Arabidopsis thaliana: one gene and its partners. The protein of the gene in region 3 interacts with the protein of the main gene of each other region in a pairwise test. Each region holds a gene or a part of one and is shown on either strand. Other genes may lie near its edges. The genes, in order: HDA05, HDA9, HOS1 and FLK.

Region 1 (6,486 bases), on a different chromosome or scaffold from region 3:
TTCAAACCAGATATTATTTTGCTTTCAGCTGGATTTGATGCAGGTTTGTATGGTCTAACCATTTGTTTCAAGGCTTTGTGACGGTAAGCTGTGTGTAATCTTTTCAACTTCTTCTTAACAGCTATTGGTGATCCGCTTGGGGGTTGTTGTGTTACCCCATATGGATATTCAGTTATGTTGAAGAAGGTTGGTGTTGAAGTGAACTGCCTCTTTTCTCCATTGTTTCTATTATGCGTACCATGGCTTCTCTACCATTGAAAATAACAAAGCTACATAATTTTACTTGGATATGACATCATTTAATTGGTTTCTCTCAGCTGATGGAGTTTGCACATGGAAAGATAGTGCTGGCATTAGAGGGAGGATACAATCTTGAGTCATTGGGAAAGTCTTCACTCGCATGTGTCCAAGTTTTGCTTGAAGACAAACAAATTCATGGTTCATCTGAAACATACCCATTAGAATCTACACGGCGTGTCATACAAGCGGTATGGCTCTATATAACCCTAACAGTCTGAAATTTTGTATGAATTGGCTACGATTTCTCTTTTCAGCTCAGTTCTTGTGTCATAAATATTGTATATCGCCTATGTTACTAATTGACAAAGCTCATCTGTTTCTTGTGGGTTTAGGTACGCGAGAGACTATGCACATATTGGCCTTCACTTGACGCGTCAATGGCGTCTAATGAGAATTTAAAGAACCCAAGTGCAGAAAGAAACTCCGCTGACGCCCTCCTTCGTGAAGTGGAAGAGTTAAAGTCTCTAATGGCTGCCCGAGATGGAGAACTGGAGGCAAGGAGAAAAGAGTTAAAGGCCAAAAATAAGGAGCTAGAAGCGAACGAGAAGGAGCTAGAAGCGGGACTAATGTTGATTCGCGCTCGGGAGGATGTAATCTGTGGTCTTCATGCAAAAATAGAGAGTTTGCAGCAGGAGCGAGATGAGGCGGTAGCGAAAGCTGAACGCATAGATAAGGAACTCCAAGAGGATAGGGCAAGAAGCCAGGAGTTCAAAGAAGACACAGAGTTTTGCTTGAGTACGTTAAGGAGGGAGAAGGAGCTTGCCATCATGGCCAAAAATAAGGACCTAGAAGCGAAAGAGAAGGAGCTAGAAGCGCGGCTAATGTTGGTTCACGCTCGGGAGGATAAAATTCATGCCAAAATAGAGAGGTTGCAGCAGGAGCGAGATGAGGCCGTAGCAAAAGCTGAACGCATAGATAAGGAACTCCAAGAGGATAGGTCAAGAAGCCGAGTTGGGAATGGATCTTTTGCCTTTTCTCAGGAGTTCTATGAAGACATGGACTTAGACGAGCTCGAACCTCTGTCTCCGGAGTTCAATGAAGACATGGACTCGGAAGAGCTTGAACCGTTTCAGGTCATCAAGAAAAACATGGAGCGTTCCCACAAGAAGTTCATAAAAGATATGGAGTGTATCAAGTTTATCGCCAGTGAGAGAGCCAGGGTACTTTAGGTTGGGAGCTTGAGGCCGTAGCAGAAGACTACCACAAGTTTCGCGAGATGGTTGATAAGCTCGGGAAGAGCAACATATACCCTTCTTAGAAAGTACAATGGTGTTTCATTGTAACCACAGAACCTTTTTGTGATTGTAAACCAACTGTGTCGTGTCAGACTTTGATTGGTTGCGATACTTGGTTTCCCAATTTCCCTCCAAAGAATCTCCAAATTGGTCAAACTCTCAAACCTAAAAAAAAAAAAGGAGAGAATGAAAAAAAGAAAGAATTGAAAAGTAAAAAATACTTGGAAGCTTTAGAAGCTGAGAGCAAAGACTTGACCTTTTTCACTTCCTTCTCACTGATCGTCGAACAATAAGGCCGTCGCATCTCCCAGTTATGGCTATGGCCGGAGAATCTTCCGGCAAAAAAATTGGAGACTGTGACGGTAAAGTCGCGGGGAACAGACAGCGAAAGGTGGGTCTTATTTACGACGAGACGATGTGCAAACACGACACACCTGACGGCGAGGATCACCCTGAGTGTCCCGACCGCATCAGAGTTATCTGGGAGAAGCTTCAGCTCGCCGGAGTTTCTCAAAGGTTCATACTTTCTCTCTTCTTCGTGCGGCTTTGTTGTTTGTTTGATAATATAAGCCCTAGAAAATGCTCAAATTTAGTCAAATTGGGTACTTTCTGATCCTGTCAGCTGAGAAACTGGTCTCAATTTGTTCTTCCTTGTTCGGTATGAAATTTACTTTTCTCAATTTGAATTGTGCATTTCATAGAATCAAAAGGTTTGTATGCTGCTCAATTTTAACGGTAACCCTTCATAAATTTGCTACCTTTTCGTTATGTTCGGTCTTGTGTTCGAGTTATTTCCTCCATGTCTGTTTTATAACCCTCTCTGATATCAATTTTATATTTTTCATATTTGTTTGAATTTCACTCATAACATTATTAATTAGAGTAATGTGGCAGCACATTAGTTAGGGAAGGTGGAATCTAGTCTTTGAGGTGTGTATCCATCACGATTTGTTTTTCGATTCGGATGAATTGGCCTGCTATGTATTGACGATCTTGGTCTTTTCTTTTGCAGATGTGTGGTTCTTGGTAGTAGCAAAGCAGAAGATAAGCATCTCCAATTGGTTCACACAAAGGACCATGTTAATTTAGTTAAGAGTATTAGCACAAAACAGAAAGATTATCGGAGAAACAGGATTGCTTCACAGTTGAATTCGATTTATCTGAATGGAGGTTCATCTGAAGCCGCATATCTTGCAGCTGGTTCTGTTGTAAAGGTAATAATACTAGTTGATTTGTTTCTTTTTACAATAGGAGGATACATTAGAAACTGTTAGAATGATTTGATTGAATATGGGGTAACAACATTTTTCTTTCAACTTGACAGTTGGCAGAAAAAGTTGCAGAAGGAGAGTTAGATTGTGGTTTTGCTATTGTCAGGCCCCCAGGGCACCATGCTGAGGCAGATGAAGCCATGGGTTTTTGTTTATTCAACAATGTTGCCGTTGCTGCTAGTTTTTTACTAAACGAAAGAGTAAGGACTTGTACTGTTTGCTTTTAATTACTGTCAAATTCTTTGGTCACATTCCTTTGGAGTGCGTGTTCCCAACTTCTTTGCTTTTCCTGAATGCAGCCGGATCTAGGGGTCAAGAAAATTCTGATCGTTGATTGGGATGTCCATCACGGAAATGGTACCCAGAAGATGTTTTGGAAAGATCCTCGTGTACTATTTTTCTCTGTTCATAGGTATGTAATTGTGACCATTGTTTACTCTTCTTATGATGTCGCTTGTCATGATTTAAGGAGCCTACTTTTTACTCTATTACCCCTTTGCTTGATTTTTACGCTTGGAAAGTAACTGGAAATGCATTTTTGGTTAGGCATGAGTATGGGGGTTTCTATCCAGCGGGTGATGATGGCGATTATAACATGGTTGGGGAAGGTCCAGGTGAAGGGTTTAACATAAATGTTCCATGGGATCAAGGACGATGTGGAGATGCAGATTATCTTGCTGCATGGGACCATATCTTGATTCCTGTGGCGAGGGAATTTAACCCGGATGTTATTTTTCTTTCAGCTGGATTTGATGCAGGTAAACATGGTTTAAGCATTTTTTTAAGCTATGTCTTGTTCAGAGGTGTGTAACCTTTTCAAACTCCTCTTAACAGCTATTAATGATCCGCTAGGGGGTTGTTGTGTGACCCCATATGGATATTCAGTTATGTTGAAGAAGGTTGGTGTTGAAGTGAACTCCCTCTTTTGTCCATCATTTGTATTTGCGCTCCAGGGGTCTCCATCATTGAAAATAGCACTTCTTGCTTTAGCTGGTTGTTTGTCCCTGAGCTAAATAATAGAAACTTGCATTTAATATCATTCTGTTTCTCCAATGTTCTCTCAGCTGATGGAGTTTGCACAAGGAAAGATAGTGCTGGCGTTAGAGGGAGGGTACAATCTTGACTCAATTGCAAAGTCTTCACTTGCATGTGTCCAAGTTTTGCTTGAAGACAAACAAATTCAAGGACCTCCGGAAGCATACCCATTCGAGTCGACATGGCGTGTCATACAAGCGGTATGGCTCTATATCATCCTATCTTTTAACTTTCTTATTTCACAATCTGAAACAACCTTCCATAAATGGGCTGTAGTCCTCATGTTACTAGTTGACCAAAACTCATCTGTTTCTTGTGGGTTTAGGTGCGCAAGAGGCTATGCACATATTGGCCTTCACTTGCAGATGAATTATCGTGGAAGCTAATTAATCAGAAAACTCCTACTCCAGTTGAGCACCCTTCTTTTTGTCTACCATTTCAGTTGTTCATTGTTCATCAGAGAGCGTTTCCTTGCCAGATCGGATTTAGAAAAACCTCACTATTTTTAGCAACCACTTCTTAACTTCTTTGTCTCTATACAAATTTTCCTTTGCTTGATCTTCTTTTTAGGCGACAGACTCGGTATTTCTTATCACATAATTTCTTTCTTATTTGTTCACTATAGATCATCCTTATCTCAAGCTCCGACTCTGAAACTGAAGACAACGCCCAAGGACTCCTGGATCAAATGTCGAAACTCAGCATTGAAAACCCTCAAGGTACACTACTTGAAAACCACCAAGTAGAACCTGCATCTACATCTTGGAGAGCTGATCTCGCAAAGGTTGACGTTTGGTATGCCTCTTTTGGATCCAACATGTGGAAACCAAGGTTTCTTTGCTATATTCAAGGGGGACAGGTAAGTAACCTGTTTTGTTTTGTTTTCGGGGTCGAGTCTGGGCTTTGGTCTAACTTGACACATCTATGGCTGTTTGTGTTTATTTTTAGGTCGATGGATTGAAAAAGGTATGTGTTGGCTCAATGGATAAAAGTCCACCAAAGGAAACAGTGTGGGAAACATTTCCACATAGATTGTTCTTTGGCCGTGAATCTTCAGTTGGTTGGGGTGTAGGAGGAGTTGCTTTCACCAACCCCCTTGCTAATCTCATTGATCAAACTCACATGTGTTTGTACCGTATCACGTTAAGTGTACCACTCTTCATCGCAGTTTCCGTTCACTTTCCCTATTTTATTCATTTGGTGATCTTCTCTACTTATTCACTATGGATGTTATTTTTGTGAACAGGCTTGAGCAGTTCAATGACGTTCTGTCTCAAGAAAATGGTTTGAATGTGGATTCAGATTCTCCGGTCTTTGATCTAGCTGCTTTGCAGTTAGTAGATAACAAAGGATCCATTTTAGAAGCTCCTTTGGTTAGTCAGATAACAAATGTTGATTGATACGCTTATAAAACATGTAATAATCACACTTATACTCGTTTATTGACATTTTTACAGAATAGTTGGTATGGAAATGTTGTCTGCTTGGGAAAAGAACGCGACATTCCTATACTTACAATGACGTAAGTTTTCATCATTCTTTTTCTTTTGCTGCTCATAAACCGAGTTAAACAGCTTTCATTTTTTTTTTCCTGAGGTTTCTCAATAACTTTGTGTTTGCAGTTGCACGCTTTCCGCTGTTGAGAAATTCAAATCCGGTGAGATCCCTATAAGACCTCCTGCAAAAGCTTATGCCAACACTTTAATAAGGGGACTTGTGGAAGGAGGAAGATTATCTAAAGAAGAAGCTGAGGCTTACATAGACAAGGCTGTGTCTAAACCTCTCTAGTGTATAATTATTTACTCAGAAACCGCCCGTTTGAACACGATTTGGAGCTTCGGGTTTCTGAGTTATTCAATTAGGATAAAAACCACAAGTTTAGGAATATTGTGAGACCTTTGAATTTGTCTTTTGAAAGAGAGGACTGTGTCCTCTGTTAGCTGTGTTGTGCTTGCTCCCTAAGCAAACTCTCAATGTATTTTAGTTATCTTCGGGTTTTAGGCTTTACCAAGAAGCTGTATTCGGTAAATGTATTAAAGAACCCTCCAAACTGCTTTATATTGACCGGAGAGAAACATTCTTATTCTTCGGAATGGTACTTTGAAGTTTGAAGAGTTATTTTAAAAAAAGATTTAACAGCACTGTGAAGAGTTCTGGTCAAACAAACCTATTTAAAAAAAAGAGATTGGAAAACATGTATAAATAAAAATTGAAACGTAAAAATACTTTGAAGCTTCAGAAGCAAAGATTGGACCATTTCTCTTTTTTCTCCCTGCTCGTCGAACGATAGACTCTCTCATCTCCCGCATATGGCCATGGCCGACAAAAAATATGGAAACTGTGACGGTAAAGTCGCCGGGAAAAGCCAGCAAGGTACACTAGTTGAAAAGGAGCAAGTAGATACCGCTTCTACATCCTGGAGAATTGATCTCGCAAAGGTTGACGTTTGGTATGCCTCTTACGGATCCAACATGTGGAAACCGAGGTTTATTTGCTATATTCAAGGGGGACAAGTAAGTAGCCTTGTTTCGTTTCTTTTTGGAGTCTGAGCTTGTGTCTTAATTGACACATCTATGGCTGTTTGTGTTTATTTTCAGGCCGAGGGAATGATAAAAGCATGTGTCGGTTCAATGGACAAAAGTCCA
Region 2 (5,701 bases), on a different chromosome or scaffold from region 3:
AATAAATACCTCTGCACCAGGAAAACAATTATTTTCAGTCTCCCCATTGCTTATCATTTTCTCTGTTTCTTTATTCATTTATGTTTTCGTTTTACATTCTTTCTAATGAGTTTTTATTTTCTCTGTTTCTTTATTCATTTGTGTTTTCGTTGTATATTCTTTCTAATGTTTTTTTATTTAACATCGAGTCTTAAGTTGCTCGATTTATATATATACATATACATCCATCTGATTGCAAATGATGAGTTAAATCACCATTGATAAAAGAAGCTCAATTGAGCAGTGTTGGCAATCAAAAACTTCCATGACTCTGATGCAAATTTTGATCAAGAAAAATCAAATCCTTGATCTTTTTTTTCTGTTCTTTCTCAGATTTTGTTAATTATCACTGAATTTTGCTTTTCAAATGTATTTCTGTTTAGTCTTAATAATTCTCTGTGTATTTCTCACTAGCGTTTTTAAATCTATTTTTTCTATTAATCTTTAGTGTTTTTTACTAACAAGGCTGCCTAAAAATAAAATTGAATTTGATCAAGTGCAAATTGTACTGTACAATATATAACGAATTTGATCACTATATAAGTCACAATGATGAGAAAGTGAACCAAAAAGCTTCATTCATATACACCAAGACGAAAACATGAAGAAGATGGAATCAATCAGAAGTGGTTTTGGTGCCCCAGTAGCCGTTAAAGTGTTGATATCATTACAAATCTCATAACTAAACAAAAAAATTAACCAACAATTTCTAAGAATCGATGTTTTATGACGCATCGTTATCGTTGTCTCCATCGAAATATTCATCATCCCTCTGGATCTGCTTATCCCGTGAACGCTCTGAAACATTCCATATAGAACATTAGTCACTAAGAAAACAAAGGGACTAAAGTAGAGCCTTGAAGGTGGTTATCGATACTTACGATCCGCACGTACATCCGGGTTTTGTTCGTCTTCATCAAAATCCGGTATGTAGAAATCCGGTGGAACCTAAGAGATTCAAGTAAAAAAACTGATCAGTGTTAGATTGATAAAAGCATCAATTTGTCCTATGATGATCTGAGTTTACCTCCTGCATTTGTACGCTTGGAGCGTGTTGAATGTATCGCAAATTCTCCAAAATCTGCACTTTGATGGAACTGATGTACGATTTGGTATTAAGATTCTCCTGTTTTCATTTCAAACACACAAAATGATTCTCAATCTCTCTTTAGATTTTGTTAAAGCAATGAGGAACTATAAGTTACATAAGAGCTCCTTACAATGTGACCACCCGGTATCTTCAAAGAAAAATCCGGCGCAAAATACTTTATGTAGTCGTTTTCAGGAATCTCTGCAGAAACAACTAACCCCTGAGCCCCCAAAGACCGCAAACATTAAACTTTCTCTAACAAATATTGAAAACCTAACCATTAGGAAGTTCTGTGTCCAAAAGAATGCCAGTCTCAACGGTCCAACAACGAGCTACATTCTCCTTTGTGTATCCTCCACCTCCTGTAACCTAATAAACAATCAGAAAGAACTGACTTCGTCATCAATGAACTTAAGATTACAGAAACGCGTCATACATATATATAAGTTGAGAGATTAGATACCAGTAAGGGAAGATTGAACTTCTTCACGAATTTAACACATTCAGCATGTCCTGTGAAATGCATAGAGAAAGCCATTTCAAAACCCGATTCGCAAAGAAATTAGCAAACGGGAGATTGAAAGAGAGAAAGAGATTTTGATTACAAGAAGAAAAAGCACCATCAATAGAGAGATTAAAGCATCCTAGTCGATCCCTGGCTAGTGAATCTGCCCCGCATTGAAGAACAATTGCACCCGGTTGATATATCTCAACAACCTTGGATATTATCTAGAGATCAAAGGAAATGATGAAACACAAATAAACGGTGAACGCATCGAGAATTTTTCATTGTTTTTAGTTAAAGAACTTACAGTCCTGAAAAGACGGTTGAAACTACTGTCATCGATACCATCCTTCAGCGGCACATTAATGGCGTAAAATTTCCCTTCTCTTTCTCCTATTTCCTTTTTAAAGAAAAAACATCACAATGACAATTCAACCAAACACATTGAAACCGTCCTCACAAATCAGGAAAATGAATTCTGAATATTACCTTAACATCGCCTGTCCCTGGAAAGAACTTATCCCCAAACTTATGAAAGCTAACAGTCATTACTCTACCACCACAAAATTTAAAGATATTGGCAATCAGTTTCTATAGTAACAGCTTTCGAGAAGTAGTGTTATGGATTTGTAACTGTACCTGTCAGTGAAGTAAAACGCTTCTTCAACCCCATCACCATGATGAACATCTATATCTATGTATAGAACACGGGGATGGTGTTTTAACAACTCAAGAATTCCTAGCACGAGATCGTTGATGTAGCAAAACCCAGATGCATCACATTTTTTGGCATGGTGCAACCCGCCCGCCCAATTTATAGCAATGTCACAGAGTTTGTTGTTTAACCTGCGTGCAGCATCTATAGACAAAATTCTCGGTCAGTCGTTTCTCTAAAGTGACAAGCAAACATGAATACCAACTGTGTATATTTACCTATGGTTCCGCCGGCGTAAAGTTGACAAAATTCAAACAAATCTTCAAAGACAGGACAATCCTCTCCCAGATTATCTGCAACACAGTAACTTAATTTCAGCTTAACATGTAGATTACAAAAACAAATTAATGAAGACACAAAACTTACATCTAGCCATTTCATTGGGGAACAAGTTCTGGTTTTCTGGATTAATTCGTTGCAGGAACTCTACATAGTCAGGAGAATGGAACTGAGCCATCTCGATAGGATATGCTTTGTGTGGACGCTGAAACAATAGAGAACATATACAGATTTCAATCGAGATGTACCGTGATATCATAAACAAAAAGAATAAAAGGATCAAGAACAAAAACAAGAAACATATATGATGAGCAAGAGACACTAACATAAACTTCCATCTTGCTATGCAGGCCATATGCAAGGATAAGATGATGGGTCATACAAAGCCTGTGAGGTTTCATCGGGTGATTCGGACCAAAATAGACACTCCCCACATCCCCTGCAACCCAAAAAAAAACATTCAGCATAACATCACAATCTCATATAAACTGCCTCAAAGGCTCCAATCATCAACAAGAATATAATCTGAAACTCGCATCAGAGTTTGAATCATGCAGAAAATCTGAAGTACGAAAATGAAAGTTATATAACTATCAAGTCTATAAAAGTTTCTCAGAGAGGAATCTCGAAAGAACACAATTTCAAACATTATATGCAATGCCAAATTTAACAAAAGTTCTAGGGTTTCATATTTTAGCAAAGAAATAACAAAGACTTGACCAAACCAATCAAAGAAGTCAACTTCACAGGTACTAGAGTCGTCTTCACCACAAGAAGGCTTCTATCTTAAGCTTAAACTCAGGCCAAAGAATCGAAAAAATCAGAAACTTCACCTAAAACCCTTGTTCTTTTCATCAAAAACCCTACTCAATTCTGGAGTATTTCCAAACTAATCGTAACCCTTTACTTATTCTAGACTATAGATATGAAAGATTTCACCTTTCGATGCATCGATTGAGCAATAAAGACAAAAACTAGTGCGGTTCAAGTGGATAAAACTTGCTCAAGAGTTACATCAATCTCAAGGATTTTGGAGTTTCTTTACCATAAATAAAGAAGAAAAGGGAAAGAAATGAATATACCATCATAAAAGTAAGAGATTTTGTCCTTGGAACGCATCTCTTAAAGAAGAAAAGACACGAAGATCGTACGAAATCAATCTTAAAGAAAGATTATACAGAGATATTTCAGGTCTGCTTAGATTCAGTAGAGAGATGAGACGATTTCTTCATTGATGAAGTCGCAGAGATTTCACGATTCTCCGGCGGAGCCGAGAAGAGAGCAGCAACGAAGCGAAAAGAAGAAGAGAGAAGAGAAGAACAAGGGGAGAGTCAAAAGTGAAACGATGTCGTTTTAGTGTTCTGATGACATGACAGATGACGTCATTTAAAGTGTATTTGATAAAAAGCGGTTTTGACTCATGGTTTTATAATACCAGACCGGTAGCTTTCCATCATTTGAACCGAATCGAAATTGAATTTGATACTGTGTATATAAATCAATCGATTTAGTTATATCTTCTTCTTTCTCTTGTCTGGTTTAGTATACATCTTCAATTTCAAAACATGTAAACTGAATCAAATTCGACCAAGGAATGATCACAATCAAAATGAGAAAGAAAACCAATTTCGAGATTATAATAGTAAGAAGTTGTTAGATTATATAAACTTGTTGAGTTATTTACTTGTTGATCTCCGATGTCAATGTCACTACCAGAGACCAAAAAAGACCAACGTCTCGTAACCACTGTCTACTTGATTGATAGGTCGATACAAACCACCGACCAAACAATCTAAAAGACAGACAAAAATCTCAACATTTTAAAGTCAAGTTCAACGCCAAAAGAAAGCATATCTACTAACCAAGATAATATCCTCCATTGCCAAAAAACTTCAATCCTTGAATCTGTTTCTAACCTTTTTCAGACCAAAAAAGAGCCGAGATTACAACTTTAGGATCCTTCGTTTTCACACCCATCCTTTGAAAACCTAGGAGCTTTTCTCTCTCAATCTTGTTTGGAGGAATCAACAATGTTGAGAGAAATGATGACCTCAGGAGAGGTACCTCTTATGGGACTTACCTTTTAGGTTTGGGTTTCTAACCTGATGCAGTCTATGTTTCACATGAACACGTGAATCTTCTTCAACACGCCCACCTAACCGCTCCTTTGCAGATAATCGACGGCGTCGAGTTGATGTGTGATCAACATTACCAGAATTCCTTTCATCAGCTGAGTATCGGAATTGTTCTCTGCTTATTCCTCCATCCACTGCATAGTTCCCTAGCTTGTCTCTGTAATCATATGCTACTTCATGTTCACGGAACCTTTTACTATCTGCCTTCTCATAAGACATTCTTGATTGCTTAGCATCCCTGTAGTTGTAATCATAAGGCATATTCTCATGCATAACCTCACTTGCGTTGTCTCTAAGACCATAATCATCTCTTGTACGCAAAATTGAATCATTCGAATGATAAACCTCTTGTCTACCATCTTGATATCTCATATTGGCATAAACTTTAACATCACCACCATTACGTCGTTGCAAACGCTCATCATCCAAGTAGACTTGATCTCGGTCATCAAAAAGATATCTCCTGCCTCGAAGAGCTTCCTCATCTTGCTTGCCAGCTGATGATCTACTGACATCAGGATGCATCACCCCATACGAATCAATTTCATGATCTCTTAGGAGTTGCTGGCTTTCATAGGGCAAATAGGCTTCCCTTCCGTCATTCGAGGACATTCCTTTACGCTCTAGAGCTCTAGCACCTCCTCGGTCCACAATCTCTGCTTTGGTGACAGCAGGATACATCCTCTCATCAATGCCAGAGTCGTAGTACTTCAGTTGTTGTTTATTGTAATGCTGATAAACATCCTTGCTTTCATTATCCAAATACGCTTCATTTCTATCAATGAAGGCTACTCTCCTAAGCTCTAGCGCCTTGGCATCTCCATGGTCTACTATAATATCTGACGAGTTGACATCACGATATATCCTGTCATCAATGCCATAGTCATGATCTTTCTTAAGTTGTTGGCTTTCGTAATGCAGATATGCATCCCCCCTTT
Region 3 (7,856 bases):
CAGATGTTGCGGAAACGAGACAATAAGCATTTGTGAGTTTGGAAAAGACACCAATTTCGCAATTATTGTTATCATATTGAAGACCTGCCAAAAACAAGAACAGAAAAAAAAAGAACAATCCTGTAAGCAACTTGAAAAGAAAGCATCGTATAAAAAGCTAAAGCTTAAGGGAAACTCACGAGTCGCCATGATATGGATCCAACAAACACCTGCGGAATTAAGTAACACGAAAACCTAATATGAGATTATGAATTTCAATACAGATCCAAGGCAGAAACAGAGAATGAAAGATTTAGGTTTTCGGATCATTGGTTATGCTATATTGAAAGATTTAGTTTTAAGGTTTACCTTGTCGACAAATCGGAACAAAAAGTGACGGAACGATAGGAAGAGACCCTATTCTCTCTTCCGAAAACCCTATTTATATATCAGAAACTTGGAACAAGCTTATGCTACTTATTTCCATTTATTAGTTTTGGTAAATAATAAAAAAGTTAAAAATTAAAATTTTGAGAGGAAATTGTGAATGTAAAAAGAAAATGATTTAATCTCAATGTGTTGTTATAACTTCTACGATTCAACAATCAGCTGCACCAATATAAGAAATTAAACATACTCATAATAATAATATCACTCCGCTCATCACAATGATATCTTTAAAATAACTGTCCAAAAAAGGTAGACTAGAGAAGAAATACACAAAATTCAGCACAAAAAATAACAGGAGAACAACGCTCACTGTAACAGTCTCTCTCCCCTCTTTACACAACTTGCTCTACCTCTCTCTCTCTTTCTCTATGCTTTAAACATAATTGATGATGGTCTTTTCGAGTGTTTGTTTCATTTCATCTTGCTGCGAATCTACGTCTCCTCCTTCCCTTCACCGGCATGGAACCAAAACTAGTCAGTTCATCTTCGTCATCGCTTGTTTCATCTGACCGCCATCTCAATCCACCACTGTTATTTCTGCTCTCCGTGGCCAAGACATTGTTGTTGTTGTCCTTTAAGCTGCAATTCATAATACACACAATTGATATGTAGCTCATCCAATATAAGACTAAAAGCCGTGGACATAAGAACCAAACAAAGTTCCTTAGACTGAAACCAAACTGGACTTTATTTTCAAACCAAACGGTAACAATAGTTTTATACCAAACAATACCAGTGTCCTCTACTTTAATGGCACGATTCAGAAAGGAACAAATGGCTAAGAGATAAAGAAGAGAGGAATACCTCGAAGACATGTCCATTGGATCATCCAAATCAACAAAGTTATCTTTGTCTGGTTGCATCCTTGTGCCAAAAAAGGTGGATTCCGGTTTCTGTGAAGATCCATTGAGATGGTTGCTGCTAGATTTCACTGTCACGGGATTGTTAGCTGTGATTCGGCGGAGATAAGGAGAGCTCATATTATTCTCTATGTATCTATCAACATTTACTTCTGGAGAGGATTCTTCAGTCCTTTTCCCTTGGAGCTGGCTGTTCCCACGAGCTCTATTTAGATCTTTGAACGGAGTTGACATTTCACCGAATTTCAGATTCTTGGTTACGCTTCTAACTTCACTCTTTTGTCCTCTATTTGCGTTTGTAAATAACCTTCCATGTGAAAGATCATGGGACGCGTTTCCTATCATATGACCAGGTTGAAAAGGACTGCCATTATTAGCCACTGGCTCTCTAGCTCTGGCATTGTTAGCACTTTGGAGAAAAACGGAATTAGTAGTGGCAAAGGGAACTGAAGAAGTAATCATGTCAGGTGCATCAGGAAGATCAGATTTTTTTGCTCCTTCAGAGGCATCTTCCATCTCAGAAAATTGTCCAGATCTAACTTGCTGCTGCTGAATTACTGGAAGTATATCTATGGCTCTATCCTGTTTCAAAGGAGCAGAGACACGGGAGGTTTAAATGTCCAGTTAAAAAAAGCCAGTATCAAGTAATATTGTACATTCAAGTTTCAGAATACTAGACAATCCTGCAAGCATCAACAGGTTATTAAGCACTAAAACGCAAATGTGAGGATGTAGCCTTTAACAAGGAACTATGGAAGGATCCACTTGTACATGGAAAGTTGGCTGAAATACTTACAACTAACTCTTTTCTCCAATGACTCTGTGATCGCATTCTGAACATAACTTCTTCCCCAATTTGATTGTCGGATACGAAAGCCTCTTCGATTTTCTGAAGCCTAAGATCGACTTGGTATGCCTGGATGTAACGGTAGCGCTGCAGCAATGTGAACAACCAGTAATTTCTAGTCAAAGAAAGACCATATACAAAAGATAATAACTTTCCAGAAAATAAGCATGGTCTATAGTGATGCAGTTTCCCTGGTTGTTCAAATAATTTCATGCTTGTTAACCAACATCCCAGACTACACCAAGCTCGAATTATAAAAGATTGTTGAAGCCACACATCAAATACGAGAACATATACCAGTCTCTATAGAATGAGCTAATTCTATACAGAGCCATCATTGAGATCCCTTATTAAAATTTTCAATATGTAGCTTAAAGCTCGGGAGGTTTAAGCTGCTGTCTAAATATCTATTTGCCTGTTGCTAAAGCTATTCTCGTTCTGAAAAACAATTCTCAGCCCATTGTTCAAGTGAAGTTATTTAAAGTTTGAAAATATAATTACTTACCTGAAGATAAAAGACAACCAAGAGACTACCCACAGCTGATGAGGGGTCATCAGTTGCCGAATCTAATAAGCATCTGTGCAGATATTTCTCCTCATCTGGGTTCCACGGTAACTCAATGATTCGATCAACCAAGTTTCTCCGAATAGAAAGACAGCAGAATTCATTGACAAGTATCTCCATCCATTCCGTCCAACTCCAGATGTCTAGATCATCAGACGCATGTTTCACAGCTCCATTTTTCAAATTATTTTCCTTTACTTTCAAGCAGAGTGTCCTTTGGTATGTGAATGCTTCACTCAAAAGACCACATTCCACTCTCACACGAAGAGCTGTGACAGCTTCACCAATTGAAACCAATTCTGATACACCATCACGACCAGACCAACGCAAGACCATAAGAGCTGTTTCAGGGTTATCCCTTTCTAACAGGACTTGCGCAACTTTGGGGTAGGTTTCTGGACCGCATATTTCAGGTAGAATCCTACAAGCTTCCTGAAATATAATTTGGAAAGTTTGTAAGCTACACCAATTAATAAATGTATGGCACAATAAAATACACGTTTCTATAAGTTTTCCTTGGGAATGCCAAAAGATACCTGGAGTGCCTCCTCTGAGTGATCATCGAGAAGATAAAATACAAAAGACTCCAGCAATGAATGCCTCGTTATGCCAAACGTAGCAGCAAAATCATCTATAGTGTGCTTCCAATATTTTTCAGGGGTAGTCCAATGCCGATCAAACAGGTAGTAAAGAAACTATCTTCTGGTTAAGGAAACCAGCGTAAAGGAAAAACATGGGAATGTTTCCTGATTCAAGTATTCATTAAAAGTAAAGTGCAATGTAATGTGAAACTAGGCGATGACAAAAGGATACAATTGCTTGCTTCGCAACAACCAAATCTGAACCGCCATGTAAAAAGAGCATGTCAGCAGCAGTTCTAAGATTCTCAAATGGATAAGATCCTGAAGTTCCCTCTATTTTGGACCTAAGAAATGATCTCTTATCCTTCTGTAAACGTCCAACTTCTAGGTCGGCACCTATTTCCTGACTGTATTCTGGCTCTCTCTCAAGATTTTCTAAAGCATCCTCAATAAAGAGGGAAGCACTCTGTACACTGCAATCTGAAGACTGGTCTACAGCATCAGGCCATGCACGCTTAACTGCATTTGATTTTCTTTCCCCTACCAGTGCATTCCACGATGTGAAATTCGAATATCGAGACCTCACATCATCCAGAAATCCATGTCTGATGCACCAGACCATTATGTCCAAATGCTGAAATAAAATAAAAAGAATAGGGTAAGCACACGTAAGCTCAGTGATCTTGCACCAATAGCTAAAGAGCTGATCTATTTAAAACACTCTCTGGTCAGAAGCCATAAGGTTATACTCATTTACTATTCAGTATGTCATATAAAGATAGGTTACATATACCCCATCTACATTCACTAATATGCAATGACATTAAAAAAGAAAAGAAGAATAAAGTCACAAAGCTAGGGATAGAAAATCAGATCCAAGCTGATGATGGAAGACCATTATCGTGCCTTTCATACATCTAAATGCAAAGCTTTTACAGTACAAACTTTACTGCAAGCCGTATACAAAACAAGTAACTCATTCTATGACAGAGGCAAACTAAACATTAATGCACGTAGGAAACTTCAATGTACAACGGATATTTCTAAGGGGGATAAAGAGAGTTATTTAAGCATACTTTTGCAAAACTGTTTGGATATCAATGAAATGAAATCATGGCTGACCTGCTTTGTTTTACCAATGTTCTCTCTCAGCGTCTGCACATCTTGAAGCTGAGGTGACACAGAACCCTTAAAAGCTGATTCCATAACTTCGAGCACACTACATATGCCAGCCACCTGTTTGGAACACCTTAGGAGTTTATCTAACCACGCTTGCATCTCTTTTGTTTCAAGATTATCTGAGGGCCAATATTAAAGATAGACAGACCTTACGGTGCACAAATATACAGTCTTAAGAAACATAAAAATATTAACAGCTAAAAGGATACAGATTTCTTGAAGTTCAGCTAAGGTGCTCCGGAATGTACGCTTGACCCAATCCTTGACAACAACTTCATCCAGCAAGAAAGCAATGACCGGATCACTAGATACAGCTGTCTCATCCATACAGACATTGGTGATATCTATTAATTTTCTGTCAAGGAGATGTCAACTATGCATCCAACATAAAATACCTCTTAGAGAATGAATGACAAAAACACTATGCACATTTCGCCCAACAGAGACAAGCATGAAACAAGAACTACCTAAAAATACATGAACCTATCAGTACAAAACTCCCCATATAAACACAGTTCCTAATAGCACAAGCATACGAATCTAAAAGAAATTCATGAAAGTATCAAACAGGAAACTAAAAGACTAAATGCATATATCAGACACCAAGCATAAATGCAACTGAAGGATACAATGGCAAACCACCGAGATCAAATTATTGTTCATAGCAACATCAAACAGAGAATAAAGGCGATGAACATCAGCTGCCAATTGATGTTCATCCTCATCCGAATCCTGTGACGCCTCTTCATGTGTTCGGGAAATCAAACCAGCTTCAACACACTCATAATAGAGACGAAGCCTAAGTCTATCTCCAAATTTTGGTAGCGTACTTCTACAGATAGGACAAACATCACACCTCTGACAACACTCTGTGCACAAGGAGGCATGACCACATGGATTCAACACATAGTTCACAAATCTTCCACAGCTAGCTAAGTCTCTTGTTGCACGACATCGCTCAACTTTTGCCTCATTACATAATTCTCTGAGGTTTATAGATGCCAAATGTTTCAACGCCTCCTGTAAGTTACAAACAATAAATTCGAAATTAACTCTAAGCTCTGCAAAACCCATTTTTTTAAGCTGAACCTAGAAATCCTAAGACCTGAGCTAAACTAATTCAGTGGAGAAATAAAAAGGTATAAAGCGGAAGAACCTGAACAGGCTTGCTACTGTAATTAGGCTGCGTAGGAAGAGATATCGATCTCGCGGCGGAGGCAAAACCGTTGATTTCTCTCGTATCCATCTACTCCGGTGACGAATACAAAAATGGAGGTAAAGAGAGAAAAAGCGTGGTTGGTGTTGGCGAGAGTGATAAAACCAGTCTAGGGCTCCGTTGAGCTTTCTCGGGAGGGAAGACGAAGAGAGGAAACACTGTTGAGTGAATTTCTCCTCAAACGGGTCAAGTCGGATTGTTTAATTCGGGTCAAATTTTAAATATGGGCCTTTCTTTTTGAAGTCTTGTGTGAATCTTGTGATTGTCTGGGCCCAAGTCGGCAAATCACGATTCGGGTCAAAATTTAAATATGGGCCTTTGTTTTTGAAGTCTTGTGTGAATCTTGTGATTGTCTGGGCCCAAGTCGGCAAATCACGTGTCCGAAAGTGAACAGCGCGTGTTTTACCGACTTGCTAAGAAAGCGCGTGGATCGTTCTTTCTTTAGTTTCTCTTCCTTTCCCAATTGCTTCCACGACGACGGAGGAGGAGAAGCAAACCCAGAAACCTTAAAAATTCAGAAAAAGGGACGACCTTTTTTCCGATCTTATCGATTTTTGAATGAGATTAGAAGAACCTATCTTCTAAGTTTTTCTTTGATATCTTTTTCTCTTTGATCGATGGATGAGTCGTTCGCTAATCTACAATCAAGCCATTTGCTTGGTTCAGTTCCGGTAAGTCTATATTACATCTATTGCTTCTTTCATTTCACCATCAATAAGCTCTTTGATTGAGTTTTTCTATGATCCTTGTTTGTGTGAAGGGAAAATTAACGTTTTTTGTTCATGCCATCATTTTGTTTGTTGTTCTGTCTCAAGTGTTACATTAGGAAGTAGAATTTTGAAACTTTTCAGATTTTTTTGTCATATTTTTTCGCGTCCACGATGATGCCTAAAGTCTTCACACTCATAGAACAATGGACGATTTCCTTATTTGCATTTCTGGGTTTCTATATTTGTTAAGGCGTTTTATTTAAGTTTTTTCACCATTTTAGGAGACAATTCGTATGAAAAACAAAACTGTATTTGAGTTTAAATGCTTGCATGATAGCTTCATTTTGGATTGAATCCGCTAAGATAAATGTTTTGAGTGAATGGATTGACTATCCCCGTGTTATTATGTCTGATACAAACATCTGTATTCTTAGGCTGTGATCAGCGACGACAAGAGAAGCACAAATGTACCAATAGCAAGCGTCAATGAAGGTGTGTTCTTTTGCTAGTTTCTGCTTGAATTATCTTTTGCAAAGAACTTTTCCGGTAGTGAAAGACATTGAGTGTTGTATGTCTTCTGCATTATTGCAGGCCCTTCTGCAAGCATGCAAATATTTCCACCGAATCTAGGAAACAATACAAAGGGTTATCAAACTCTTGAGAGCCCAACAGGTATATATGCTCCTTTTAGATTCCTTTTTTAGGAGATATTTTTATCTGTAGTCACCATGAATCAGTACAATGGTTGAAAGAATACTTGTGTGAGTCAACCTCGTTTTTCTTATGGATGTCAAGATCCTATATACCTTTGTTTTCACCTTGTTCTGTCTTATATGGTGATATATCTTATCTGCTCCAGTAGAAGGACCAGCACAACAGCCATCAAACAACTGGAAGGGCTTTTTTAATGTCTACTCATATACCCAATACTTCGACGTGGACACGGACGTTGTTTTGAACAGATTAATGAGCTCTTTATATCCTACTAGTGGAGATTTTTTCAACAAGATTGATGCAAACCCTGATTTGTAAGTCTTTTAATGCCTTTTTCTCCTTCACTCTTCTTGGTGATTGTACTTACCATGAGAGAGTTCTTTCGAATTTCTTTAATCGGTCCATTGCTCAGTCATGCCGTTAATTTGTTACCGTTCTAAGTGTTATCTTCTGCACCTTTCCGAAAGCATGATCTTGCTATTCATTTACTCCTATGTTACTTCAGGCGATTGATTAAAATATCCTCATTTTCTCTTGGACAAATGAACAGAAAGCATCATAATATGTTATCCTCTAAAGATTGGCTAAAAGCTAGGCCTTTCACAAATTATTCTTGATTAATGACTCGTGTGTGCTTCTGTTAGGTATGGACTTGTCTGGATCTGCACTACGCTTGTGTTTGTGCTTGCTTCTCTCGGAAATTGTGCTACATATCTCGTGAAGAAACGAACCGACAGTAATGCTCCTTGGATCTT
Region 4 (6,584 bases), on a different chromosome or scaffold from region 3:
AATGTTAGTAGTACTTCATTGTATTCACAGATCTGATTTGTGTGGACTTCTCTGACAGAAACAAAACCGCAGACTCCAGTGAGTTATCGGAAAAGAAGCAAAAACCGCAGGGGTAAACTCTGCTCAGTGTAGTATAAAATTCGATCTTTCTTGATCAATTGCTAGATTTCAGGCAACTACCTAGAGAACAACATTACATTGCCTGTTTGTTGAATCCTTTCCTTCCTTATTTTATATGCTCAGCTCGAGCAGTTAAGCAGCAACGCTTTTTCTTTTTATTCCTGAGATCACATTTAATTTCCCATTTGGAATGTATTTTATTTAGGTTTGAAATTCACAAAGTATTATGTGATTATACTTTTTTTAACTTATATTTTGATTCATATAACAATTCCCACACAGAAATTCATTCAAGCACCAAATTATGAAACAATGATTTACCATAGACTAATAATCTCTCTTAAAAAGGGATGAGAAAATCGTGAAGGACACGATAATGAACCATACATTTTTTTTTTTTTTACTTTTTTTGAATATAAAGAAGATTTCCGGTTAGATCAATGTTATGAATAGTACACAAATGAAGAAGTCTCAAAACAAGTGATATAATAATTGATTGTCAGTACACAGAGTGCTCGCTAATAACAACATATACTCGATTAGGCATCTAGCGTTTCCACTCTTGCTTGCAACTACTAGTAAAACATTCTAAAGAAACTTAAAATCTTTCATCAGTAACCGTAGCCTGAGCTGTAATCCGTAGCGTATCCTCCAGGCGGGTTTGTTGGAGCCGCTGCGTAAACTGAGCCGTGTGTTGCGTATGGGTTATAGCCTTGCTGCTCTGGTGCTACAGTTTGAGGCTGTGCTGGTGCCGGCGCTCCAGCTTCAGCCATGAAGTTCTGTCATAAAACACAATCAACAGTCAGATTTCATCATAAAAAAACACTAGCTTCTGCCTCGGTTTTGAGGGTTTAAAGGTTACAATGGTTAAGAAATCTGGTGTGAGAATATAGGGGTACCTGAATAAGCTGCACGGCAGTTTGGACTTGTGAGCCAGTTCCGCTAACCTCAACAGTCATTTCACCAGGTACTCCCCTGGTCTCCTGAATAGTTACTGTTGCTCCACTAAGACGTCTAGTGTAGCTTATGTTTGAACCCGACGTCCCAATTACAGCATCAGCATAAGACAGTGGAATCTGCATTTGCTGCGTAACTTGCTGCAAAACAAACAAATCCCCACACCACTCAGATTTTCATTGATTTACTTTACATACATAAATTGCAGTAGATTGAACAGTCAACTTCATAACATGTTGCAGAGATTGGCGGAATACCTGAGCGACCATTGGTGGGGCTGATGATACGTGCACATTCATAGGAGGCTCTCTACCATATGCAGATATACCTTGATGAGGCTGTTTCTCCATTGGAGGTTGACGCATCTCAGGAGGAGGATAGTAACTATCATGTCTAGGAGGTGGTTGCATATATGGAGGTGGGTTGTGACCATAGCCTCCTCCACCAACACTTGGGGCATGACCTTGAGGAGGACCCCATGACTGGTGTGGTGGTGGCATATGGTCCATTTGGCGAGTTGGCTTTTGCATCTGTTTAAAACGCAGAGTAAAGAAAAACGTTAATAGAGACAAATGAGAAACATTTTTAAACATACAACGGAACAAAAGATAACCTGATTTTCAAAGAATGGGATGATGCTACGATCAACCAAGAACTTTCTGAGATGTGACGCAATCAGCTCCAAGGCTCTATGAACACTTGTTGGTTCCCCCACAACTTCAACAACCCTATCGTCTTGAAGAGCAAAAACAGGTAAATCCTCTGCAAAACTCCACCATAACAAATTTCAGTTAGAACTACCAATGGATAAGGAATAAACGAAACAAACACCAAAACAAAGTTGAAGTTATTTCAGAATCTAAGCCAATCTGAACATTTGATGTTGAATGGTTCAGCAAATCTTGCAGATGAAGATAACATAGAAACTTATAGTGGCCTTTATCTCTACAAATATGGGGAAAATAGGGAATAGTCCATAGCACAACTGAAACCAAAAACACAAAGCAAGAAAGAATTTTTTCAGCATGTAAATTGTGAAGAGAAGGAACCTGATCCAAGAACTCTGACTATACAAGCGGATGCTTCTTGAATAGCTTTAACTGTTCCTCCCTGTTTTCCAATCAAACTTCCAGCCTGAGATGCTGGGACTAGTAATCTTGTTGACACCTTTGAAGGCGGAGGGGCTTGAGAAGCTTCACCATCCAAACCATCAACTATCCGCATGTGGACTCTAAGAAGGCCATCCATAGAAGGTGGTAGAGATGATTCGGGCTCTTCTTTACCAGAAACCATAACCTGCGACAAAGAGGAAACAAGTAGAGAACATTACCAAATGACTAAAGCATTTCACAAACAGCGATCTTAGGATCTATACCAATTATTATTTTGGTGCCATATTTCTCAAATCATAAAGAAAATTCCAAAGAGGTACAGACTTAAATGCACTTTGACCAGTTAGATGTTTATTTCCTGTTATAATCTTCATTTAAAGTTTTTACCCATGGTGATTAGGTTATCGCCTTTTAAGATGCCATAGCAGCCATTACCAACCTTCTAGACTTAAAAAACCTCTTCATAGAATCTTTTTCATGCAAACATAAAATTTCTCTTTACTTAATTGTTGCCTAAACCATAATCTCATCGTCCACATATTGTTACATCCGGTTAAGCAGGTCCTTGCATGCTACAGAAAGTCTGCAGCAAGACATCAATCATCCAGGTACTGAAGTTACCAGAAAGAATGCAGAGCTTCATGGAACTGAGGTTTATACAAGAAGAATCTTGCCTATTCGATAAACTTATCAGCACTGTGTATGTAGTGCTCAAGGCTGAATCCTTGCCATCTGGCTTTGGTTCTTCATATTTGAGACCTTACCGATGATTGTTGCCATAAAACTTGCAAGATAAAACCTGCACAGATTCATGGTGGTCACAGCAATAAAGGGGAACCCTACTCACATCTTATCAACTTCGCCGATTAACTTCCTCCTTTCACTTGAAGGAAATGATAAGCAGGCCTGCTGGTTACTATATTCCATATAGGTATAATTACTAACTAAGATGGTTTCGCTTGATGCACTATACATTCGTCAACACGTTTTTTAGCAGCTCAGGATCATATCACTCAGCCCCATTAAAACACTTTTTCTGACAAAGTTCATAACTTTTTTGAGTTAAAAGGGATGTTCAGTTTCCTCCTATCCGTTTACTTATATATTTATTAACGTCAAGGGGAGAATATGAAAAGGGTTGCCTCTTAACTAAAATTTCATGGCTTTTTAACATTTTTAACAAAAGCTAGTGCCTGAAAACTTTAGATCAGTGACTTATACAGCCAAAAAGTGTATGTATTCTACTATATTAGTTTTCTTATCACTAGGATTTTAGTTTTAGTTCAAGAGCATTATATGACTACTAGCTGCAACTCATATAACATGAAAGGGAAAAAAGGATTTAGAGACTCACAGCTCTTTCTGTTGTGCCTGGAGGACCATCGAGAATCTTTATTCGAGCCCTTGTCTCCTCAACTATTTTCTTAATGACATCACCTTTGCGACCAATGATGCTACCCACTTTCTGTGCAGGAACCAGCATACGGAATACCGTCTCTCCGGGCCATCCCGGCCACCTCTTCTCCTCACCTCCAACTGTCGCATCTTCTTCAGGCTCTGATTTCTGTAGAGACTCAAGATGCTCAGGAATTCCTTCCTCATCTTCTACTTTATCTTGCACTTCATCACCATTGTGATCTTGTACATCACCTTGCGCCTGATACTGAGCCTGATCATGAGCCTCGTCTTGTAACTGAAACTGCTCCTGATTTTGTGGCTGATATTGTAGGTCATCTTGCGAATGATCTTGGACATCTTCATTAGCCTGGTCCTGCAACTGGTATTGATGATACTCTAACTGATCATCAACCTCGTACTGCTGAGGTTCAAGAGTCTGATCTGGTACCTCGTACTGCTGTGGTTCAAGAGTCGGATCTGGTACCTCGTACTGCTGAGGTTCAAGAATCGGATCTTCAACCTCGTATGGTTGGTGAACAAGGGTCTCATCATGAACCTGGTACGGTAACCCATTATGCAACTCATCTGACCCTTGATCTGGTACCTGATCTCCATTGTGTGCAACGAAATTTTGCTGATCTTCAGCTTCAGCCATGACTAGAGCGCTGACATAAATTCAGAGTCCAGATAACACACATTAGTCCCGTTATACATATACAAACAGTTAAAGTTTCATTGAAGATTTCACTTCCTTCAACAAGTTATTGTTATAAAGCATGTGTTAGAAAGAAATATAACGCCTAGAATTAAAACATTTGCATCTATAAAGTAACAGCTTCGCCAATAATATGCTCAAAATTCAAAATCTAACAAATTATTCTAGGTCACCTAATAGCTGCTTCATATAAGAGGTATCAACTTAGCCTAAGCTTATTCTGCAGAAAATAGCATCTATAAACTAGAGGCAGTTAGTAAAGAAAAATATAAGCTTAATGAAACACGAAAATATCGTTTTCGGACTAGTGAAAACCCTAAATTAACACAGCGAACATATAGACCCCAGCGAGGAACCCTAGAATTGACAATGAAAAAGAAAGAACTATAGCCCCAAAAGCTTAAACTTAGGATTAAAGATAACCCAGTGAAATTACGTGGTATCAGTGGAAACTTTAACAATATTAGAGTGATAAACGGAAACTTGATTCGAAGAAGTTCGGCGGAGAAAGAGAGAGATTCCGGTAACAATGGAGGCGGGTGAAAATTATCTTAAAGTTGAGATCGACAACTAGTGAACTTTTCTTTTATTAACACTTTAGTCCTTCTAATTTTAACAGCTTCTAGTTTTGTCAAATTGAGCTAGCCCGTATATTTATAATCCAAAGTCACATTCGTATGGGCCGTGATCTGCTTTAAGGCCTATCATAACTTTTTTTTTTAACATCTATTTTATTGATTTGGAAGTGGGATAGGTCATTGAACAAACATTTTTTTCTTATTAATTTATTTATTATTAGTTCAATTTATACCTGTTTTAATTTTCTTTTAACTTTGCTTTTTTTTAGGCTAACATTATACTATTCTCATTAGACTTTACTATGTAAGCTTAGTTATTTCACAGAAATTGCATTGATTTTGCAGATAGTGGACACCTTATAGAAGATTTTGATATTATAGAGTCGTCAAATAATAACTACAAAAATTTGGTGCTAAGGTTGCAACATTGTTTTGGTCTTCAGTTATTTAGCACAAATGGGAGTGCTTTCCACGAAACAAATTTTAATTTGAAAACTTCTTTTCTTTATTTTTGCCTTAAGGACAAAGACTAAAAAAGTTGAGAAAAATCAGAGAAAAATATTTATATCAATATTGTTCAAGATCCTAAATGGAAGCAGAGAGTGAAGAATACTATTTGTTGCTAAACAAACAATTACTATCATATCTAGAGTATTATGTTCGATATGTCACAAACGAAACAAAAGCCAACAAAACATAGTAAAAGAGAAATCAGTCCTTCTGCAGTAAATCTCTCAACCGGCTCCAACCTAGACCTCGGTGGCAGCGGCAACTTCTTCTTGTGCTTCCACGGAAGCTTCCGTCTCTGCACTGGCTTCCTCCTCCGGAGTCTTGCCGTTGGTCACAGGTGGCACCAAAGAGTCAAACTTGTCTGACTTGCCCAACACTATCTCAATCTGCAACAATAACAAACCCAAAAGGAGATAAATAAAACTTCAAAAGGGTATAAGGAAGTAGTAAAAAAGAAACTCGCCTTTGCCTTCTGGACCATCTTCCCTTTTGTCTCATCTTTCATTCCCACAGTCGATGTTAGCACCTCTGTAATTCAACACAGACCAGAGATGAAACAGTTTCTTCAATAGAACGAAAGGTTCAAAGATTGATGGTAAGAAGGGAGAGATCTGACTCACTCTTCTCTGTTGCAAGTCCATTGTTCTTCAAGATCTCAGAGATTGTTACCACAGTTGTGATTGCTATACACACATTAATGATTATATACATATACACGCAAAAGATGAGAAACCGATCAAATAAAAAAGATAAAGGTAAAAGAAAGAGTCTATATACCCATTCCAAGTGCAGAAAGCTCGACCTCGTTGTGTTGCTGAATGTACCTCTGCATCAAACAACGAAAAGATCCAATTACTCTCTAAGTAATACAATCAAACACTTGGTGGACACAAAGTATCAAATAGATAAAGATCGATCCTGAATCAATACTACAAGTATCCAAAAACAGATCGGAAACAAAATCCAGGCGAATACTGATTGTTCGTTTCAAGATACTAAAACGATGTTTCGTTAACTGAATCTACAATCTTAAAATCAAGCGAATCTCGAACTCTAGTAAACAGAATCAGTCAAAATTGAGAAAAAGGAAGACTCGTTGATCTGAAAAACCGTAGATCCGGTGATGAATTTAGGTTTCCGATCATTACCTTGGCGAGATTAACGTAGAAGAACAATGGCTTCTTGGTGTTGGAA

What was found.
Region 1: the proteins of HOS1 (region 3) and HDA05 interact in a two-hybrid assay, tested with the Arabidopsis thaliana proteins (one study listed by BioGRID).
Region 2: the proteins of HOS1 (region 3) and HDA9 interact in a two-hybrid assay, tested with the Arabidopsis thaliana proteins (one study listed by BioGRID).
Region 4: the proteins of HOS1 (region 3) and FLK interact in a two-hybrid assay, tested with the Arabidopsis thaliana proteins (one study listed by BioGRID).

What each region holds. Positions count from the first base shown.
Region 1 is NC_003076.8:24,566,280-24,572,765, reverse strand, and holds HDA05 (histone deacetylase 5), read left to right. Parts: upstream 1-1,774; 5' UTR 1,775-1,848; coding exon 1,849-2,051; intron 2,052-2,547; coding exon 2,548-2,749; intron 2,750-2,859; coding exon 2,860-3,006; intron 3,007-3,105; coding exon 3,106-3,218; intron 3,219-3,352; coding exon 3,353-3,564; intron 3,565-3,640; coding exon 3,641-3,717; intron 3,718-3,870; coding exon 3,871-4,041; intron 4,042-4,166; coding exon 4,167-4,250; intron 4,251-4,466; coding exon 4,467-4,700; intron 4,701-4,789; coding exon 4,790-4,983; intron 4,984-5,087; coding exon 5,088-5,214; intron 5,215-5,298; coding exon 5,299-5,363; intron 5,364-5,463; coding exon 5,464-5,629; 3' UTR 5,630-5,983; downstream 5,984-6,486. Other genes in the region: HDA18 (histone deacetylase of the RPD3/HDA1 superfamily 18), read left to right, coding at 1-43, 122-186, 318-488, 633-1,469; AT5G61050 (histone deacetylase-related / HD-like protein), read left to right, coding at 6,151-6,354, 6,439-6,486. UniProt on the Arabidopsis thaliana protein: Responsible for the deacetylation of lysine residues on the N-terminal part of the core histones (H2A, H2B, H3 and H4).
Region 2 is NC_003074.8:16,226,006-16,231,706, forward strand, and holds HDA9 (histone deacetylase 9), read right to left. Parts: upstream 4,005-5,701; 5' UTR 3,748-4,004; coding exon 3,711-3,747; intron 3,068-3,710; coding exon 2,955-3,067; intron 2,834-2,954; coding exon 2,716-2,833; intron 2,643-2,715; coding exon 2,568-2,642; intron 2,494-2,567; coding exon 2,274-2,493; intron 2,188-2,273; coding exon 2,124-2,187; intron 2,035-2,123; coding exon 1,942-2,034; intron 1,859-1,941; coding exon 1,750-1,858; intron 1,643-1,749; coding exon 1,593-1,642; intron 1,499-1,592; coding exon 1,408-1,498; intron 1,331-1,407; coding exon 1,260-1,330; intron 1,166-1,259; coding exon 1,067-1,165; intron 988-1,066; coding exon 921-987; intron 838-920; coding exon 764-837; 3' UTR 514-763; downstream 1-513. Other genes in the region: AT3G44690 (uncharacterized protein), read right to left, coding at 4,680-5,701. UniProt on the Arabidopsis thaliana protein: Responsible for the deacetylation of lysine residues on the N-terminal part of the core histones (H2A, H2B, H3 and H4).
Region 3 is NC_003071.7:16,610,792-16,618,647, reverse strand, and holds HOS1 (ubiquitin-protein ligase), read right to left. Parts: upstream 5,872-7,856; 5' UTR 5,708-5,871; coding exon 5,618-5,707; intron 5,482-5,617; coding exon 5,091-5,481; intron 4,806-5,090; coding exon 4,671-4,805; intron 4,581-4,670; coding exon 4,405-4,580; intron 3,917-4,404; coding exon 3,515-3,916; intron 3,397-3,514; coding exon 3,238-3,396; intron 3,134-3,237; coding exon 2,642-3,133; intron 2,224-2,641; coding exon 2,086-2,223; intron 1,872-2,085; coding exon 1,234-1,871; intron 1,009-1,233; coding exon 846-1,008; 3' UTR 526-845; downstream 1-525. Other genes in the region: eIF6B (Translation initiation factor IF6), read right to left, coding at 1-84, 180-189; AT2G39805 (Integral membrane Yip1 family protein), read left to right, coding at 6,295-6,348, 6,822-6,879, 6,979-7,059, 7,247-7,415, 7,746-7,856. UniProt on the Arabidopsis thaliana protein: E3 ubiquitin-protein ligase that mediates ubiquitination and subsequent proteasomal degradation of the transcription factor ICE1. Acts as a negative regulator of cold signaling pathways.
Region 4 is NC_003074.8:1,250,031-1,256,614, forward strand, and holds FLK (RNA-binding KH domain-containing protein), read right to left. Parts: upstream 4,955-6,584; 5' UTR 4,739-4,954; exon of another isoform or gene 4,253-4,738; 5' UTR 4,243-4,252; coding exon 3,544-4,242; intron 2,374-3,543; coding exon 2,127-2,373; intron 1,840-2,126; coding exon 1,691-1,839; intron 1,608-1,690; coding exon 1,335-1,607; intron 1,218-1,334; coding exon 1,020-1,217; intron 900-1,019; coding exon 732-899; 3' UTR 523-731; downstream 1-522. Other genes in the region: DAN1 (Alba DNA/RNA-binding protein), read right to left, coding at 5,630-5,776, 5,854-5,918, 6,011-6,073, 6,168-6,216, 6,539-6,584.